Linked DNA regions of Saccharomyces cerevisiae S288C. Changing the gene in region 3 together with the main gene of any one other region gives a genetic interaction. Each region holds a gene or a part of one and is shown on either strand. Other genes may lie near its edges.

Region 1 (4,518 bases), on a different chromosome or scaffold from region 3:
ATAACCACAATATCAGCAAGTACAGGATAAGATTAACCTACAAAAAGGAATCTAAACAAGTTCCGGTTATTTCAGAATCGTTTTTTCAAGAAGAGGCTGATGACTCAATGGAATTCTTCATCAAAGATTTGGGTCCCCAAATTTCATGGAGATTAGTCTTCTTTTGTGAGTATTTGGGTCCAGTCTTGGTTCACTCCCTTTTTTATTATCTATCTACCATTCCCACAGTTGTTGATAGATGGCACAGTGCTAGCTCCGACTATAATCCATTTTTAAACAGGGTTGCATATTTTTTAATTTTAGGACATTATGGAAAGAGATTATTTGAAACCTTATTTGTTCACCAATTCTCTTTAGCTACTATGCCAATTTTCAACCTGTTCAAAAATTGTTTCCATTACTGGGTTCTAAGCGGTCTCATTTCATTCGGTTACTTTGGCTACGGCTTCCCCTTTGGGAATGCTAAGTTATTCAAATACTATTCATATTTGAAATTGGATGACTTGAGTACATTAATTGGTCTTTTCGTGCTTTCAGAACTATGGAACTTTTATTGCCACATTAAATTGCGCCTATGGGGTGACTATCAAAAGAAGCATGGTAACGCTAAGATCCGTGTCCCATTGAATCAAGGTATTTTCAATCTTTTTGTTGCTCCCAACTATACTTTTGAAGTTTGGTCTTGGATTTGGTTTACTTTTGTGTTCAAGTTCAATTTATTTGCCGTTTTATTTTTGACTGTTTCAACAGCTCAAATGTACGCATGGGCTCAAAAGAAAAACAAAAAGTATCATACCAGAAGAGCATTCTTGATTCCATTTGTATTTTGATCCTCCTGTTTGCAACATGCCCAAATGCAAGGTAAAGAGATATTAGCTTTCACGAAGTGGCGTAGTAGCACTATTGTTTAAGTATCGTCTGCACCTGTGCCTTTTGGTATTTGGCACTATCTTAAGCGCATGCCACCAATTATGCTAAACCGTTTCACTTTAAGAAATTTTTATTTAAATCTTTCACTATGCAAATATGTAAGTACTTTTAAAATTCTCTTTCCAAAGAAAAGGAAATTATTTCAGACTAGCAGTAATTTATCACTTTGCTATTCAGATATTAGGAGAACATCCTTATCGAGCAAATCTGCCTCGCTTGAGCTGACAACGTCATCTTCGTCAGTACTCTCGCCATCCAGTAAATATGTGTTTTCATTCAATTCATTGAAAAACGGGGTTTTCAGTAAATCTTCTGCTGAACTACGCTTTTGAGGATCCATTTCGAAGCATTGTTCCAAAACCTGGAAGCACCAATAATGATCGGACCAAATTTCTTCTTGATACTTTTTCAACTCATAGGCATCAACAGCATCCATATTTGTCTTGGGGTCAGGTAATTGAGGTTCAATGGACATCCTGTCATGTAATTCTTGTTGTAGAAATCCGAATGTTTCAAAAGCAACACTGTACTCAGGGAACGTACCTATGGTACATTCTTTATTAAGCAAATCATAAACAAATTCCTTCAATCCATTAGAATATCCGTTTGGTTTATCCCAAATGAGCCCACTAGCTTCGAAACCCAATCCATGCAACGCTGCGCATTTTCTTAATTCTTTCCAACCAAAAATAGTACATAACTCTAGCAAAGAATCCGCATCATCTAAACTTTGGAACATTGGAAATCTTCTGCCCAAAAGACTTAAAAGAATAACACCTACGGACCATATATCAATCTTTGTGCTTTGAGCCCCACACTTCATTAACACTTCTGGTGCCCGAAATCCACGAGTCCCTGCTCTATTAGCCCTTTTAATTCTACGCGTTTCATTTTTAGGATAACCCTTTGTCAGATCCACCCCATTTACATTGTTTAAGTGGACGACCTTGCCATTTTGTATGGTGACCATAGGAGGTGTTTGGTTATGTGAGTTAGGAGAATATTGATTACGCATAATGCATGGACAAAATTGTTCGTGATTCCTCATTGAATATCCACCATCATGGTTTGTATTTGCATAATTGTCGTAATCGTTTTGACTAGATATCATGCTTTTATAATCCATTTGAGCCTCGGCTAGACCAAAATCAACAAGCACTCCACGCCCCAATTCCAAATTAAATAAAAAATTTGTCGGTTTGATGTCTCTATGAATAATTCCCTTCGAATGAACAAACTTCAATGCTCTTAGTAGCTCCCAAATGTACTTCTTGATTCCCTTGATTGGTAGATCCCTGTAGAAAGTTCGGAACTCCTCGTGGGGATAGTACGGTAAAACAGCAATGACTTGATCTCGCACCCTTTTTGCATCACATAGAGGGGCTACTCTCGAAGATCCCGTCATTATGTACAGCAGGTTGAGCTCATTATAAATTCTTTGCGGTGACGAGGTAACGTATATTTTCTTCAAAGCAACATAGTTCGAACCATAATTCCAAAAATGTGATGCAAATTTTTTTGTTATTTTCCCAGTGATATCTTTGGCTTTATACACTGACGAAAATGTTCCCTCACCGATCTTGTCTATGAGTTTATATTCATTTTCTATACCCGGTAGATCATGATAGAGCTGTATCATCTCTTCTTTGATTTCTGGAGGTATATCATCGATATTCTTCGTTTTGCTTGTCATTATGATTGTTCTACTTCGAAACTGCCTCTTTCCTAAGAAAATTAGATAATAGCACAATTGTTATTGAAAATTTAAGGTAGTCTGTTACTTCCCGTTACGCCTGCTGAGCGGTTTTTTTTGTTAATGGTTCTTGCATTGATTTTAGGCGGAAATGTGAAGTGCTCTTCTACTCACTAAATTGATGCCGTTCAAGAAGACGCCCCAGGGCAAAGAAGACATAATTTAAAAGCTGACCGGGGACAAATGTTTAAGATTTATGTAGGCCTAAGGCGTTTATCGAGCTAAACGGGAAGTAATTTTACTCTATAAAATGTCATCTACACAAGCATTGCCCCATTAGATTCTTAATTATCTTCAAAACCAGGGCTACACCTTAATTTCCCAAGCTAAAAACATGCTTATATAGAGGTTTAAAAAAAAAGCGTCGTTCGTTGATAAAGTTTACGAACGTATCAGTATGATCGCGTAGGTTTCCACATACTACTTAGACTTCCTACACTGTCATGGTCATTATGTCAACAAAGGTGAGACCAACGCGTCCTGACCTGAATTTTTCTCTCTTTAAAACAGAACGCGTTCTTCATAATCCTCTCCTCAATGAAAGAATTTGGGGGGACAATATCTTGACAGAAACTGGTAAGGCTCTTGATAGTTACCGTACTTGAAGGGACACTGTGAACTGACTAAAAAACTCCGTCATGTCCAATTTATGTGTACTTTTCTTCCAGTTTTTTTTTTTAGCACAATTTTTTGCTGAGGCATCACCGTTGACATTTGAACTGAATAAAGGTCGAAAGGAGTGCTTATATACGCTAACTCCGGAAATTGACTGTACAATCTCATATTATTTTGCAGTACAGCAAGGAGAGAGCAATGACTTTGATGTTAACTACGAAATATTTGCTCCTGATGACAAAAACAAGCCAATAATCGAGAGATCTGGTGAACGTCAAGGTGAATGGTCATTTATAGGCCAACATAAGGGAGAATATGCTATCTGCTTTTATGGTGGTAAAGCACACGACAAGATTGTTGATCTGGACTTCAAGTACAATTGTGAACGCCAAGATGATATTCGAAATGAAAGACGCAAGGCGAGAAAGGCGCAGAGAAACCTGAGAGACTCTAAAACCGATCCCTTGCAAGACAGTGTGGAAAATTCTATAGACACCATAGAAAGGCAGCTCCACGTTTTGGAACGTAATATACAGTACTATAAAAGCAGAAACACCAGAAATCATCACACCGTTTGTTCAACAGAGCATAGAATTGTAATGTTTTCTATTTACGGCATATTATTAATCATCGGAATGAGCTGCGCTCAAATTGCCATACTGGAGTTCATTTTCAGAGAATCGAGAAAGCATAATGTGTAAATAGTTGTGTATTGTTCCTGCATTTTCTATCAACTTGAGAATATATGTTCTTCATATTTAATAGGGGAAAGGAATGACATACCGTATCCAAAATAGCCCTTTTGCTCATGTTAAATCTTATGTAATGACAGAGCTGAAGTGACGTTTCTATTAAAGCACATGTCACGATTTAAAAAATCCTATTTCAAAATGTAGCATTGTTTTCTTCGAGAAATTGACAAAATAATCTTTGTAAGAGTAATTTTTTCTTAGCCATTGGCATATGCACCATGCAATTTCCACCTATTTAATTACACTTGCAGTCAATCAACTCGCTTGGGGATGGTATTCCTCTTGGAGTGTTAAACTATATTTTTAGTGAAAGAAGTGATAAGCAAGTGTGCCAGAAAATACAAGGATATAACACAACTTTGAAAAAGAAAAATTGCCGATTCATCTATTAATGTATCTTGTAAAATTGTTTACAAAGAGTCAATCCGCATTACAGGCAAGATTGAACATGCTATCCCAAAGCCTTAA
Region 2 (6,363 bases), on a different chromosome or scaffold from region 3:
ATGGCATCTGCAACAGAACGTGCAGCGATGATGTTGGCTTTGCGAACCTCTTGAGGTTTTTCCTTGTTCTTAAACGTGGCGTTAGATGGAACTTTAGCAGACATCGTTCTATACTCTCCTTTACCCGTCTTGCACACTTGCCGCACCTCCAATTACAATTCATAACCTTCATGCCCACTTAGCTATATCAACCTCTTGAACTGTATTCAATTAGCCTTTCTTGGTGGCGAAACGAAAAAAATTTCAGTTTCCCCGTGGCAAGTGATAGTAATACCAAATTATATAGCCTTAATTAGGACATATTGATATACCTCATAAACTACAGTCCCGGTGCCAGGATACAAGTTGGCATAAGCTAATGTCGAAAATGTCTAGAATACTAGTTATCGGGGCAGGTGGCGTTGGGGTCATTACTGCGCTTTCGTTGTGGCTTAAGAAGGAGAGCGACGTTTCCTTGGTAGTCAGATCTGACTACGATAGGGTATTGAAGCATGGCTACACAATCGAATCATGTGACTATGGCCGGTTAGAAGGTTGGAGACCCCACCATATTTACAGCAGCGTCGAGGACGCTGCTTCTGCCGCAGACAACCAAGGATACAACTATATTGTAGTGACTACCAAGAACATCATAGATGGGCCCGTTAATTCAAGGGTGTCCAACATCATCAGACCTGTGCTTGAGAAGAATAAAGAGCTACATGGGCCGCAATTGACGACACACATTTTACTGGTACAGAACGGAATCGATATTGAGAAGGAGATATGGGCGGAATTTCCCAGAGAGCAGTATCGTTACACGGTGCTTTCTGGCATCCAGTTAATCGGATCCACTAAGATCGGGTCAGGCCATATCAGTCAAGTGGGCCAGGACCACTTATCGTGTGGAGCTTTTGATCCACAGGACGCTGCTGCTATCCAGGCTGCCAACGACTTCGTCAGGATGTACAGCAACGAGGGGCAAAACTTTGTCGAATTTGACCCTAGGGTCCGTTACTCTCGGTGGAAGAAGTTGCTCTACAATGCAGCTATCAACACATCCACGGCACTTGTGGGGCTAGACGTTCCGCGTTGCCTGGAGTTTGGGGTTAACAAGAAGAGCACAGAAATTGAAGTGTTCCACCCTGCCATGAGGGAGATCATCGCCATTGCGGCGAGTGAAGGCATCATTATCGAAGAGGAGTTCATAACGATGTTTACAGAGATTACCAGGAAAAAGGTGTTCAAGCCATCCATGTGCGTGGACTGCGAGAAGGGCCAATTGATGGAGCTAGAAGTCATCCTAGGCAACCCCATAAGAATCGCGAAAAGAAACGGCGTCGCTACACCCACTCTTTCTATCTTATACAACCTACTTGTGCTAGTACAGGCCAAACTAAAGGAGCGGAAAGGCCTATTGAAGTTCGACGAAAAAACTGCCACTCTTGTGGACGAGTAGTTCCAACCATTGCTTGCCTCGTTGACGAGCCTTCATCTAGTATATTGTAACACATAATTTAGTATGTACTCTTAACTATTATTCTTATTGTCAGCATTTATACGACGTACAGAGCGACCGAAAATTTCGACAACACGAAACGAAATCGACAATTTGCCAACTTGAATAAATAACAGATCCGTCTTCGAGACTGTGACGATTGAGCCTCGATTCAGTAGCATACAGGGACCACAAACTTGTTTGAAGAGGCATTGCAATTAGGTAAATCATAGAATTGGCGAAACCAGCAGGATTTTCCAAACATTTGTTACTTACCCCCTTCTTTGCTTAAGATATAAAGTTTTTTCTTTTTATTTTATCTTCCCTTTACACTTTTGAATAAAAACATTATCATACCTGTTTACAAATTCGCGGTTTATTTAACCTGAAATCAGTATACTTTTTTTCTTCTGTAGTGTCTTTGTTCATTTCATTACTGGATCAAGATGAAGATGTTAACTAAATTTGAATCAAAGTCCACTAGGGCCAAGGGCATTGCCTTCCACCCCTCCAGACCTTGGGTTTTGGTGGCTTTGTTTTCCTCTACTATTCAATTATGGGATTACAGGATGGGAACACTACTTCACAGATTTGAAGACCACGAGGGCCCTGTTCGTGGGCTAGATTTCCATCCAACCCAACCGATTTTTGTTTCGGCAGGTGACGACTATACCATTAAAGTTTGGTCCTTAGATACTAACAAATGTCTATACACCTTAACTGGGCATTTGGATTATGTCCGTACCGTGTTTTTCCACCGTGAGCTGCCTTGGATCATATCTGCTTCTGATGACCAGACCATAAGAATCTGGAACTGGCAAAACCGTAAGGAAATTGCATGTTTGACCGGCCACAATCATTTTGTCATGTGTGCTCAATTTCATCCAACCGATGACCTGATCGTTTCCGCTTCTCTGGATGAAACCATCAGAATTTGGGATATTTCCGGTTTAAGGAAAAGACACTCCGCTCCTGGTACTAGTTCATTTGAGGAGCAAATGAGTGCACAACAAAATCTATTGGATGGCTCTCTTGGTGACTGTGTTGTCAAGTTTATTCTAGAGGGTCACACAAGAGGTGTCAACTGGGCCTCTTTCCATCCAACTTTACCATTGATTGTCTCCGGCAGTGACGACCGTCAAGTTAAATTATGGAGAATGAGTGCTACGAAAGCTTGGGAAGTTGATACTTGCAGAGGTCACACTAACAATGTTGATAGTGTTATCTTTCACCCACATCAAAACTTGATCATTTCTGTCGGTGAAGACAAAACGCTAAGGGTTTGGGATCTTGACAAGAGAACTCCAGTAAAGCAATTCAAAAGAGAAAACGATAGATTTTGGTTGATTGCAGCACATCCTCATATCAATCTATTTGGTGCAGCTCACGATTCTGGTATTATGGTTTTCAAGCTCGATCGCGAAAGACCATGCAGCTTTATCCATCAAAACCAGTTGTTTTTTGTCAATGCGGAAAAGCAAATCCAAAGTTTCAATTTCCAGAAAAGAGTCGCTTCATTACCTTATGCGTCCTTAAAGGGTATTGGTCAACCTTGGGATGCATTCAGAAGTATATCGTACAATCCCTCCCAACATTCAGTTTTGGTTAATGAAGCTAATGGCAAATTTGCTCTCGTTATTTTACCAAAACAACCAGTTGGAGCTGTGGAGCCAACAAGTGTCACCCAAGATACAGGTAATTTTGCTACTTTTGTTGGTCGTAATAGATTTGTTGTTTACAACAAGAACACTGAATCTGTTGAAGTTCGCTCTCTCGAAAACAAAGTTACAAGAAATATCAAAGTAGAGGAAACAGTAAGAACTATTGTAGCTGCAGGTCCTGGATCTGTTTTGGTCATACACCCCAGAGAAGTTATTCTTTATGATGTCCAACAGGGCAAAAAAGTATCCCAATTGGCTGTTAAAAACGTCAAGTACGTTTCGTGGTCCTTAGATGGTCAATATGTTGCATTGATGAGTAAGCACACCATAACTTTGGCTACCAAAAAGCTAGAATTGATTAATTCTATGCATGAAACGATTAGAATCAAAAGTGCCGCTTGGGATGAAACTGGTGTATTAATTTATTCAACTTTAAATCATATAAGGTACTCACTATTGAACGGGGATAGAGGTATTATTAAAACTTTGGAGAAAACTTTATATATCACAAAAGTTCAGGGAAAATTAGTGTACTGCTTGAACCGTGAAGGTGAGATTGAAATTTTAACCATTGATCCTACAGAATATCGCTTCAAAAAGGCCCTGGTTAACAAAAATTTCCCAGAAGTTTTACGTCTGATAAAAGATTCTAATTTGGTTGGCCAGAATATCATTTCCTATCTGCAGAAGTCAGGTTACCCAGAAATTGCTTTACAATTCGTTCAAGACCCACATATCCGTTTTGATTTAGCTTTGGAATACGGTAATTTGGATGTTGCCTTAGATGAAGCCAAAAAACTGAATGATTCTAGTACTTGGGAAAGATTAATCCAAGAAGCCTTGGCACAAGGTAATGCCAGCTTAGCTGAAATGATTTATCAAACTCAACATTCTTTTGACAAACTTTCCTTCCTGTATTTAGTTACAGGTGACGTTAACAAACTATCTAAAATGCAAAATATCGCTCAGACTCGTGAAGACTTTGGAAGTATGCTATTAAACACCTTTTACAACAATTCAACCAAGGAAAGATCTAGCATTTTTGCAGAGGGCGGCTCTTTACCATTAGCTTATGCCGTAGCAAAGGCTAACGGAGATGAAGCGGCTGCTTCTGCTTTCTTGGAGCAAGCTGAAGTTGATGAACAAGATGTTACTTTACCAGACCAGATGGATGCCTCCAACTTCGTTCAAAGACCAGTGATCTCAAAGCCACTTGAAAAATGGCCATTAAAAGAGGCTGAACTATCTTACTTTGAAAAGGCTGTTTTAGGTCAAATTGACGATTTGACTATAGACGATGAAACTCCAGCAGTAAACACCACTCAAGAGCAAGAAGAACCACTAGGCGAAGAAAACTTTAACGATGAGGATATTGGTGAAGACGAAGGTGCCTGGGATTTGGGTGACGAAGATTTGGATGTGGGAGAAGAGTTACCTGAAGAAGTTGAGCAAGGCGAAATTACCTCTCCAGCACAGGAAGTTGAAACAGCCATTTGGATCAAGAATTCTAAACTGCCTGCTGTCCTAGTTGCCGCTGGTGCCTTTGATGCCGCTGTTCAAGCCTTGAGCAAGCAAGTGGGTGTAGTCAAGCTGGAGCCATTGAAGAAATATTTTACCAACATTTATGAGGGTTGTAGAACATACATTCCTAGTACGCCCTGTGAACTTCCTGCTCAATTAGGTTATGTCAGAGCGTATGATGATACCGTAAGTGAAGATCAAATTCTTCCTTACGTGCCAGGTCTTGATGTCGTTAATGAAAAAATGAATGAGGGTTACAAAAACTTTAAACTAAACAAACCAGATATTGCAATCGAATGCTTCAGAGAAGCTATCTACCGTATTACGCTATTAATGGTCGATGATGCTGAAGATGAAAAATTAGCACACAAGATACTGGAAACTGCTAGGGAGTATATATTAGGTTTATCCATTGAATTGGAACGCCGCTCATTAAAGGAGGGAAATACTGTACGCATGCTTGAGCTAGCTGCATACTTTACAAAGGCAAAACTATCCCCAATTCATCGTACCAATGCTTTACAAGTGGCTATGTCCCAACATTTCAAACACAAAAATTTCTTACAGGCCTCATATTTTGCCGGTGAATTTTTAAAGATTATTTCTTCTGGTCCTCGTGCAGAACAAGCACGTAAAATCAAAAACAAAGCCGACTCAATGGCCAGTGACGCCATTCCAATTGACTTTGATCCTTATGCTAAATTCGATATTTGTGCAGCCACCTACAAACCAATTTATGAAGATACACCTTCCGTTTCTGACCCATTAACAGGTAGTAAATACGTTATCACGGAAAAAGATAAAATAGATAGAATTGCTATGATTTCTAAGATCGGTGCACCTGCATCCGGATTAAGAATACGTGTATAAATGCTATTTTGCCTATTGATTTTCTCGGGATTGTATTCTGCTCGACCTAAATTTCATGTGACAAGTCCTTTTAATCTAAACAATATGATAGTGAAAAAAAAAAACTGACTATGTAATTAACAGTTATATACAACTTCTAAAATAAAAAATATCGCCTATTTTAACAAGTGACACACAACCTGAAATTCTGCCAGCATGTATTCGGAAGCAACCCGAACTTTAGTTTTATAGTTACGATTGTTGCATTTGTATATAAAAAGTACAATGTGTCATTAGATACTGCAGTGAGTAGAAGAAGAAATGGTCGGAAGAACCACATTAATGCAAGAAGAAATAATGCTTTACTTATTTTGGAGTTCCACATTTTCTTGATGGAGGAGGAGGAGGAGGCGGAGGCGGAGCTTTAGCCTTTCTTTTAGTCAAAGATTCTGCAGAAACATCTAATTCACGATTACTATAAAGATGGCCTTTACGAGCCAAGATATTTTGATTGTCGGGCGTCCCCAATGCAACAATGCTAGAGTTTCTACTAGTGTTATTACTAGAGACCGATGAACCTCCATCTGAAGGCGTTGAAGGTGTCTCTAACCAAGGAATTTGTTGAAGACACTTCCGAGATAAGGCCACTGTAACTTGATGCTCGTGCAACGCTGGACTGTCAACGCATATATTATCTAAAGTCGACAAGTAGTTTAATAGTTTATTCAAATCATCCTTTCTATAATGTGTTTTGGATAATTGTGTATTCTTTAATAGCGGAATCAGAACCCTTAGAAGGGTGTTTCTCAATACCTCTTCATCCTCACTGATATTCTGTAGTTCTCTGATTAATAC
Region 3 (4,296 bases):
AAGGCCGATTGTATGCTATGGTCAATTCAAAGAAACTTTGTTGGAATTAGCTCATACTTTATATTCAGACCTCAGGTTTTTAGCACCATCAATTTTGGAAACTAGATGTAGGCCGTACCAAAGTATAAGGGGTAAGCTACACCCTCTGATGACCATGAAAGGTGGTGGTGGATATCTAATGTGGTGTCACAGAGTCATCCCTGCTCCTGAACCTGTATCGGAAAACGCGACTGCAGCTGACTCCAGTGAAAAGCTTGCTGAACATGGAGCTAAGAAACAAAAAATATAAATGTCCACAGAGTGTTCCGTTTGATAACTTCCAACAAAAAAACCTGAGAATATATATATTTACATTTATATACTTAGTTGCAATTAGCTTTGTGCCCACTGAGTGCGGTTGCTAAATGTCTTATAGTCCCAAAGGATGCAAAAATCTGGTGTAGTATTCGCCCTTTGGGAGTGGCCTTAAACCCATATACGACTCTTGCTTTCCCATTCGAGTCATATTTCAAACCAATAGACCAAATACGGCTGAGATATGAATCTTCTTTAATGCGCCTCTCCACGTAATTAAACTGTTCAACGTCTCCAATCTCATAAAAGAAGGAGTCTGTCTTCGGCAGCCAATAATTTACTAGATTTATATAGCATTCAAGCTCACCCACTAGCGCTAGCCTTGGTTCGAACAGCTTTACGGAAGTTTTAACATCTCTATTGAAGTCACGCTTTCGAATGTAGGGGGGGTTACCGGTTAATATATCTATATGGGATGGATATTCATCGCTAGCTTTTGAGGACAATATATTATGTTGCACGAGCTTACCACCACTCACCTTGTTTTTCAGCATATTTTCTTTAACCAACTTAATTGCTCTTGTTGACACGTCAATGGCAGTGAACGTGCAATTTGCTATACCATGACTCAAAGCGAGAGCAATACACCCTGTTCCTGTAAACGTATCACAAATATGCAGTGGTATAGTATGCCTTGAAAGCATAGAGTTGTTTAGAGCTCTTATTATGGCCATCACCCATTCCTCGGTTTCCCATCTTGGTATAAGAACACCAGGCTTGCAAACTATGTCCAAGGCCCCAAACGGTTGCGATCTTAAGATGTACTGCAATGGGACGTGTTTGTATCTCTGTAAGCAAGCCCAGCGGATTGATTTATCCGGAGGCAGCTCTTCGGTGAGCCATTTGTACTCGAGTTTCGCTTGCTCGAGAGTCCTACATTCTGGAAGCAAAAGATGCAAACCAGGTCGTATTCTCGAAGCTTTTCTTATCAATGATGTAGATATTCGAGGCATATGTTCTTTCTAACCGTTTCTTTTTCGTTCCTACCATTCAACTATCGCTCCTTGTCTACGAGTTAAGGGGAAGAGAGTGCAGAGTTTCTAAAAGCACTTGAAAACGTAACAAGACATTGACCGTAGAGAGTCGGCAAAATAAAGTCGTTTATACACGTTTGAGTTGTGTGTATTCAACTATGGAATACATTGTTATAATGAGTATGTTGGTATAAAATAAGATGTGAAGTCGCTGGTTTGAGCACGTGATATACACCTGACCTATAATATTTCGTACAAAATTATAGAAGGCCATCGAAAAAATAGAAAATTTTTTCATTTCTTTTTCAAGAAATGAAAAGGCAATAGAGCATCGGCAGGTATGGAAAGTATTTAACTTGCAGATCAATCCACGTACTTATAAAACGTGTAAAAACTTGCTCTACGTTTATATGTTGGTTAGGTAGTTCTTGTTTGATAAGGTGTGTAGTTCGTTTTTATAAATCAAAGTCACAAAAAGTCCTTTTCCCCATATATATTAGGCCCGAACAAGCGTCTTATTTGATAACTGTTACGTATTTATTTTTTTGTTATTTGTTACCATATCTTTTGATAGAACATAATTAAAAATTATCCAAACTGAATTCTACATCTTCCAACAACAATAATAAACGTCCAAAGATGGTTAAAGAAACTAAGTTTTACGATATTCTAGGTGTTCCAGTAACTGCCACTGATGTCGAAATTAAGAAAGCTTATAGAAAATGCGCCTTAAAATACCATCCAGATAAGAATCCAAGTGAGGAAGCTGCAGAAAAGTTCAAAGAAGCTTCAGCAGCCTATGAAATTTTATCAGATCCTGAAAAGAGAGATATATATGACCAATTTGGTGAAGATGGTCTAAGTGGTGCTGGTGGCGCTGGCGGATTCCCAGGTGGTGGATTCGGTTTTGGTGACGATATCTTTTCCCAATTCTTTGGTGCTGGTGGCGCACAAAGACCAAGAGGTCCCCAAAGAGGTAAAGATATCAAGCATGAAATTTCTGCCTCACTTGAAGAATTATATAAGGGTAGGACAGCTAAGTTAGCCCTTAACAAACAGATCCTATGTAAAGAATGTGAAGGTCGTGGTGGTAAGAAAGGCGCCGTCAAGAAGTGTACCAGCTGTAATGGTCAAGGTATTAAATTTGTAACAAGACAAATGGGTCCAATGATCCAAAGATTCCAAACAGAGTGTGATGTCTGTCACGGTACTGGTGATATCATTGATCCTAAGGATCGTTGTAAATCTTGTAACGGTAAGAAAGTTGAAAACGAAAGGAAGATCCTAGAAGTCCATGTCGAACCAGGTATGAAAGATGGTCAAAGAATCGTTTTCAAAGGTGAAGCTGACCAAGCCCCAGATGTCATTCCAGGTGATGTTGTCTTCATAGTTTCTGAGAGACCACACAAGAGCTTCAAGAGAGATGGTGATGATTTAGTATATGAGGCTGAAATTGATCTATTGACTGCTATCGCTGGTGGTGAATTTGCATTGGAACATGTTTCTGGTGATTGGTTAAAGGTCGGTATTGTTCCAGGTGAAGTTATTGCCCCAGGTATGCGTAAGGTCATCGAAGGTAAAGGTATGCCAATTCCAAAATACGGTGGCTATGGTAATTTAATCATCAAATTTACTATCAAGTTCCCAGAAAACCATTTCACATCAGAAGAAAACTTGAAGAAGTTAGAAGAAATTTTGCCTCCAAGAATTGTCCCAGCCATTCCAAAGAAAGCTACTGTGGACGAATGTGTACTCGCAGACTTTGACCCAGCCAAATACAACAGAACACGGGCCTCCAGGGGTGGTGCAAACTATGATTCCGATGAAGAAGAACAAGGTGGCGAAGGTGTTCAATGTGCATCTCAATGATTTTCTTGATAAAAAAAGATCAACTTATTCACGATTCATTTATTCATCATACTTTTCACTTCAAAATACAGTTTTGTAGCTATACATATGTAAAGTAATAATGGTAGAAAATGCAGTTTACCAAAAAAAGTTCTAATTATGACGAAATCTTAAGGAAAGAGTAAAGCAGGGATTATATGCTGAAATTTCCACTGTATATATTTGCCACAGAAAACCATTTTTTGTATTAGGTATATTTAGTGCACCTTTAACATGTCAATAATTCAACGGAAAATTAACGAAGTAAATAATACATTAATTAGGAAAAATTTACATGAAAGTCTATAAGCTGTTTATAAAAAAAATATGCAGGGATAAGTGTCTATCAAATTGAAGAATGCCAATTAATTATGATTATCGTTCTGGTCTCTTTTTGTTCCCTTTTTGGCTTTGACTGCCAAGGTGTTTAACCAAGACTGTCTTTGTTGTTTCAATAATCTATCCTCCCTCCACTTCATACCATATTTCATCGGAATAAACATTAAGAAGTTGAAGAAAAATACCAGCGCACATAAAAATGTAAAAGTACCACCTACAGTCATCGCAGCTTTCATTTTGGCAAAGCAACCCATGAAGATGGTACTCAAACTGCACCTAACAAAGTTGAAACAACTACTTGCTGTAGATGATTTCGTTGGGTACAAATCGACCAATAACGTAGTTGATGTTGATAATGTACTCATAGCACAGTATGAACAGACAAATGAAGTAATTAAAATAGATTCGATCCTCCAGCCCTTATCTATACTCCAACCAAATAAAAGATAGGCTACGACGGCCAAGAAATTTTGGGGCAGAAGACAAACTAAACGGACTTTGAACATATTAATCTCTGCGTCTTGTGGAATCAACCCGTTAGCTTTGTCTTGCTCGAATTTCTTGATCTTTCTCTTGAAATACATGTCAATAATTCTACCTGTGAAGAAGGAACCCATTAAACCGCCAATACCACCGGGTAGATAACACACACCAATAATGACCAAATGATAGTTGTATGGCGCCACTGATAAACCGGATGAAATAGAGGAAAGCATTAACGTCCACATAGCAAATAAGAGCC
Region 4 (3,665 bases), on a different chromosome or scaffold from region 3:
TGACTTGTTTTAAATACAAGGCATATAGGCGCAGCTTCACCAAGATATTCTGGCTTAAACCAGCACTATGTATATTTTGGTGTTTGATACCGATATCGGCAGCTCGAAGCGTTTTTATGAACTGTAAAAATATGTCCTACATAGTTGTTTGGTAATTTTTTGGTTTTTTAAGATTGTTTTATGAATAGGTGTTTTACCAGAAGGCTATCGCCAGGTAACTCTTTTAACTAAATCGAAAAGATTTATTTGACGTGTCATATTGTAAAAACTAAATGGAAGACAGAAACTAACTTTGTCGACACCTATTTTAAACAAGTATCAAACGCGGGCTATAATTTTTATGAGAGCAATCAATGCAATGGAGTCTATTTCCGGTTAAATGGCACGATTGTGCGTAAAAACACGAGAAAGTGGAAGCATCTTTTTCTTAATGACGGATAATTACCCGAAACAGTGCAACTGCAAGTGCATACTCTTGAAGGACTTACATATTGAGAGGGAACACATTACTACCTTTCAAGAACACTCGCATTTACGGCGTACATATGGTTCCGCGGTAGACCCTAGGTTGAATTGAAAACCATGTTTTGAAGGAAAGCAAAGGCAGAATGAGAACATGGAGATGTAAATATTTTCCCAGTTAGGCATGACCCAAAATCGCAATCCAGATGCAATTTATTATGACACGTAGACCTTTCCGTATCTAACGTAATAAACGATATCTATTTTCGAGGCGCTCGACATCTCGTATCTGGGACAGAAAGTGAGGTAGATTATTCAAGAATACCTATTAAGAAAGGTAGAAGGTATTGCACCGATTCCTAGTATCAATTCTTTTCAAAACCACTTATTTTGCAAAACATGCGTCTAACCTGCCATTTCAGCAACGTAAATAATAATTACTTCCATATATATTCTTCTCCCCCAGTAGCAATTTTGACATGACAAATTTCAGCGATAGTTGCTTCGGCATTCGAAAATCGTAGAAGTATGTCTTAATGTAGAAGGTTGAGAACAACCGGATCTTGCGGTCATTTTTCTTTTCGAGGAAAGTGCAAGTCTGCCACTTTCCAGAAGGCATAGCCTTGCCCTTTTGTTGATATTTCTCCCCACCGTAATTGTTGCATTCGCGATCTTTTCAACAATACATTTTATCATCAAGCCCGCAAATCCTCTGGAGTTTGTCCTCTCGTTCACTGTTGGGAAAAACAATACGCCTAATTCGTGATTAAGATTCTTCAAACCATTTCCTGCGGAGTTTTTACTGTGTGTTGAACGGTTCACAGCGTAAAAAAAAGTTACTATAGGCACGGTATTTTAATTTCAATTGTTTAGAAAGTGCCTTCACACCATTAGCCCCTGGGATTACCGTCATAGGCACTTTCTGCTGAGCTCCTGCGAGATTTCTGCGCTGAAAGAGTAAAAGAAATCTTTCACAGCGGCTCCGCGGGCCCTTCTACTTTTAAACGAGTCGCAGGAACAGAAGCCAAATTTCAAAGAACGCTACGCTTTCGCCTTTTCTGGTTCTCCCACCAATAACGCTCCAGCTTGAACAAAGCATAAGACTGCAACCAAAGCGCTGACGGACGATCCGAAGATAAAGCTTGCTTTGCCCATTGTTCTCGTTTCGAAAGGCTATATAAGGACACGGATTTTCCTTTTTTTTTCCACCTATTGTCTTTCTTTGTTAAGCTTTTATTCTCCGGGTTTTCTTTTTTTGAGCATATCAAAAGCTTTCTTTTCGCAAATCAAACATAGCAAACCGAACTCTTCGAACACAATTAAATACACATAAAGATGCCTGCCCCTCAAGATCCAAGGAATCTTCCAATTAGACAACAAATGGAAGCTCTTATCCGTCGCAAACAAGCTGAAATCACGCAAGGTTTGGAATCCATCGATACTGTTAAGTTCCACGCTGATACTTGGACCCGTGGTAACGATGGTGGTGGTGGTACCTCTATGGTTATCCAAGACGGTACAACTTTCGAAAAAGGTGGTGTTAATGTCTCCGTTGTTTATGGTCAATTGAGCCCAGCGGCCGTTTCAGCCATGAAAGCTGATCATAAGAATCTGCGTCTACCAGAAGATCCAAAGACTGGTTTGCCAGTTACCGACGGTGTCAAGTTCTTCGCTTGTGGTTTAAGTATGGTCATTCATCCCGTTAACCCACACGCTCCAACCACGCACTTAAACTACCGTTACTTCGAAACTTGGAACCAAGATGGGACCCCACAAACTTGGTGGTTTGGTGGTGGTGCTGATTTGACACCTTCTTACTTATACGAAGAAGACGGTCAATTATTCCACCAACTGCACAAGGATGCCTTGGACAAGCACGACACTGCTTTGTACCCACGTTTCAAGAAATGGTGTGATGAGTACTTCTACATTACCCACCGTAAGGAAACACGTGGTATTGGTGGTATATTCTTTGACGATTATGATGAACGTGACCCACAAGAAATATTGAAGATGGTTGAAGACTGTTTCGATGCTTTCTTGCCATCCTACTTGACTATCGTCAAGAGAAGAAAAGATATGCCATATACAAAGGAAGAACAACAATGGCAGGCCATTAGACGTGGTAGATACGTTGAATTCAACTTAATCTACGATAGAGGTACCCAATTCGGTTTGAGAACCCCAGGCTCTAGAGTTGAGTCAATTTTGATGAGTTTGCCTGAACATGCTTCATGGTTATACAACCACCACCCTGCTCCTGGTTCCAGAGAAGCTAAATTACTAGAAGTTACCACCAAACCAAGAGAGTGGGTTAAATAATTCAAGGTTCTTTAGCAGACCGATTTTATGATCTCAATGACAATGATGATTTAATTATTTCGACCACTTATTTATACATTTTTTTATCTATTTATTATACCTCCTTTACATAATTCTTCAAATTCAATTGATACAGGATCTCTATTCTTAAAAATATTAATTATTGCGTCCTATTTATGATGCAAGTTCACAGTACGTGCAGGATCAAAAATTATATCAGTATCTATTGCTCTAAAAATATGGCAGCAGCCTTCATTCTCAATATGCGATCATGCCTTCTAATCAAATTTTAAGATGTTTTTATTACTCTTTTTATTCTTAGAAAATTCATCTTATATTCAAGGACTTCTTAATTTTCCTTCCATCTATGACCACAGTTTACACACTTATAAAAGGTAGTCATCGGCTCATCAGCTGACCTAATTTGTAGTTGGAAAAAGTAAGCACTCTCACCACCACAAGTATCATAATTGGGACATTGGGTTTTGGTTTGATCCACATTGTCCCAACCACCACCAAGAACATCATCAACTTCCTTTCTTGGAAGTTTCTTCCTATCATAGATTTCTATACCCTCTATAGGAAACTCATATGGACATGAACGGCATGCTAATGTATATACACCACTATCGCCACTCGTTATCAGTAGCATATTGTTACACGAAGGACAAAACGAAAGCATCCTAAATTATGTATTTTACGTTTTACCAATGAATGCGAACTCTTTTGCTTATATAGCCATATAACGTATGCGTTTTCCAGAAAGAAGATTCTCGGTTATGCTTTTGGATAAAACTTTTCCTACTGTTCTTTTGAACTGGATTTGAATTTTATATCGATCATCTTGCCATGTAATAATAGATGTCCAAAAATTTCATCTG

Evidence for each region.
Region 1: mutations in YDJ1 (region 3) and CDC7 together harm fitness more than expected from each alone (negative genetic interaction), as found in Saccharomyces cerevisiae (3 studies listed by BioGRID).
Region 2: mutations in YDJ1 (region 3) and COP1 together harm fitness more than expected from each alone (negative genetic interaction), as found in Saccharomyces cerevisiae (3 studies listed by BioGRID).
Region 4: mutations in YDJ1 (region 3) and HEM13 together harm fitness more than expected from each alone (negative genetic interaction), as found in Saccharomyces cerevisiae (2 studies listed by BioGRID).

What each region holds. Positions count from the first base shown.
Region 1 is NC_001136.10:422,314-426,831, reverse strand, and holds CDC7 (serine/threonine protein kinase CDC7), read right to left. Parts: upstream 2,624-4,518; coding exon 1,100-2,623; downstream 1-1,099. Other genes in the region: trans-2-enoyl-CoA reductase (NADPH) TSC13, read left to right, coding at 1-830; ERP3 (Erp3p), read left to right, coding at 3,322-3,999. UniProt on the Saccharomyces cerevisiae protein: Serine/threonine-protein kinase. Needed for the initiation of DNA synthesis during mitosis as well as for synaptonemal complex formation and commitment to recombination during meiosis. Required for HTA1-HTB1 locus transcription repression.
Region 2 is NC_001136.10:193,737-200,099, reverse strand, and holds COP1 (coatomer subunit alpha), read left to right. Parts: upstream 1-1,923; coding exon 1,924-5,529; downstream 5,530-6,363. Other genes in the region: chaperonin-containing T-complex subunit CCT4, read right to left, coding at 1-104; YDL144C (uncharacterized protein), read left to right, coding at 368-1,438; LDB17 (Ldb17p), read right to left, coding at 5,875-6,363. UniProt on the Saccharomyces cerevisiae protein: The coatomer is a cytosolic protein complex that binds to dilysine motifs and reversibly associates with Golgi non-clathrin-coated vesicles, which further mediate biosynthetic protein transport from the ER, via the Golgi up to the trans Golgi network.
Region 3 is NC_001146.8:504,769-509,064, reverse strand, and holds YDJ1 (type I HSP40 co-chaperone YDJ1), read left to right. Parts: upstream 1-1,967; coding exon 1,968-3,197; downstream 3,198-4,296. Other genes in the region: tRNA 1-methyladenosine methyltransferase subunit GCD10, read left to right, coding at 1-289; MTQ1 (S-adenosylmethionine-dependent methyltransferase), read right to left, coding at 363-1,307; AQR1 (Aqr1p), read right to left, coding at 3,581-4,296. UniProt on the Saccharomyces cerevisiae protein: Probably involved in mitochondrial protein import. Is also required for efficient translocation of pre-pro-alpha-factor. Involved in heme regulation of HAP1, as a component of the high-molecular-weight (HMC) complex.
Region 4 is NC_001136.10:544,845-548,509, forward strand, and holds HEM13 (coproporphyrinogen oxidase), read left to right. Parts: upstream 1-1,797; coding exon 1,798-2,784; downstream 2,785-3,665. Other genes in the region: DNA-directed RNA polymerase III core subunit RPC11, read right to left, coding at 3,134-3,466.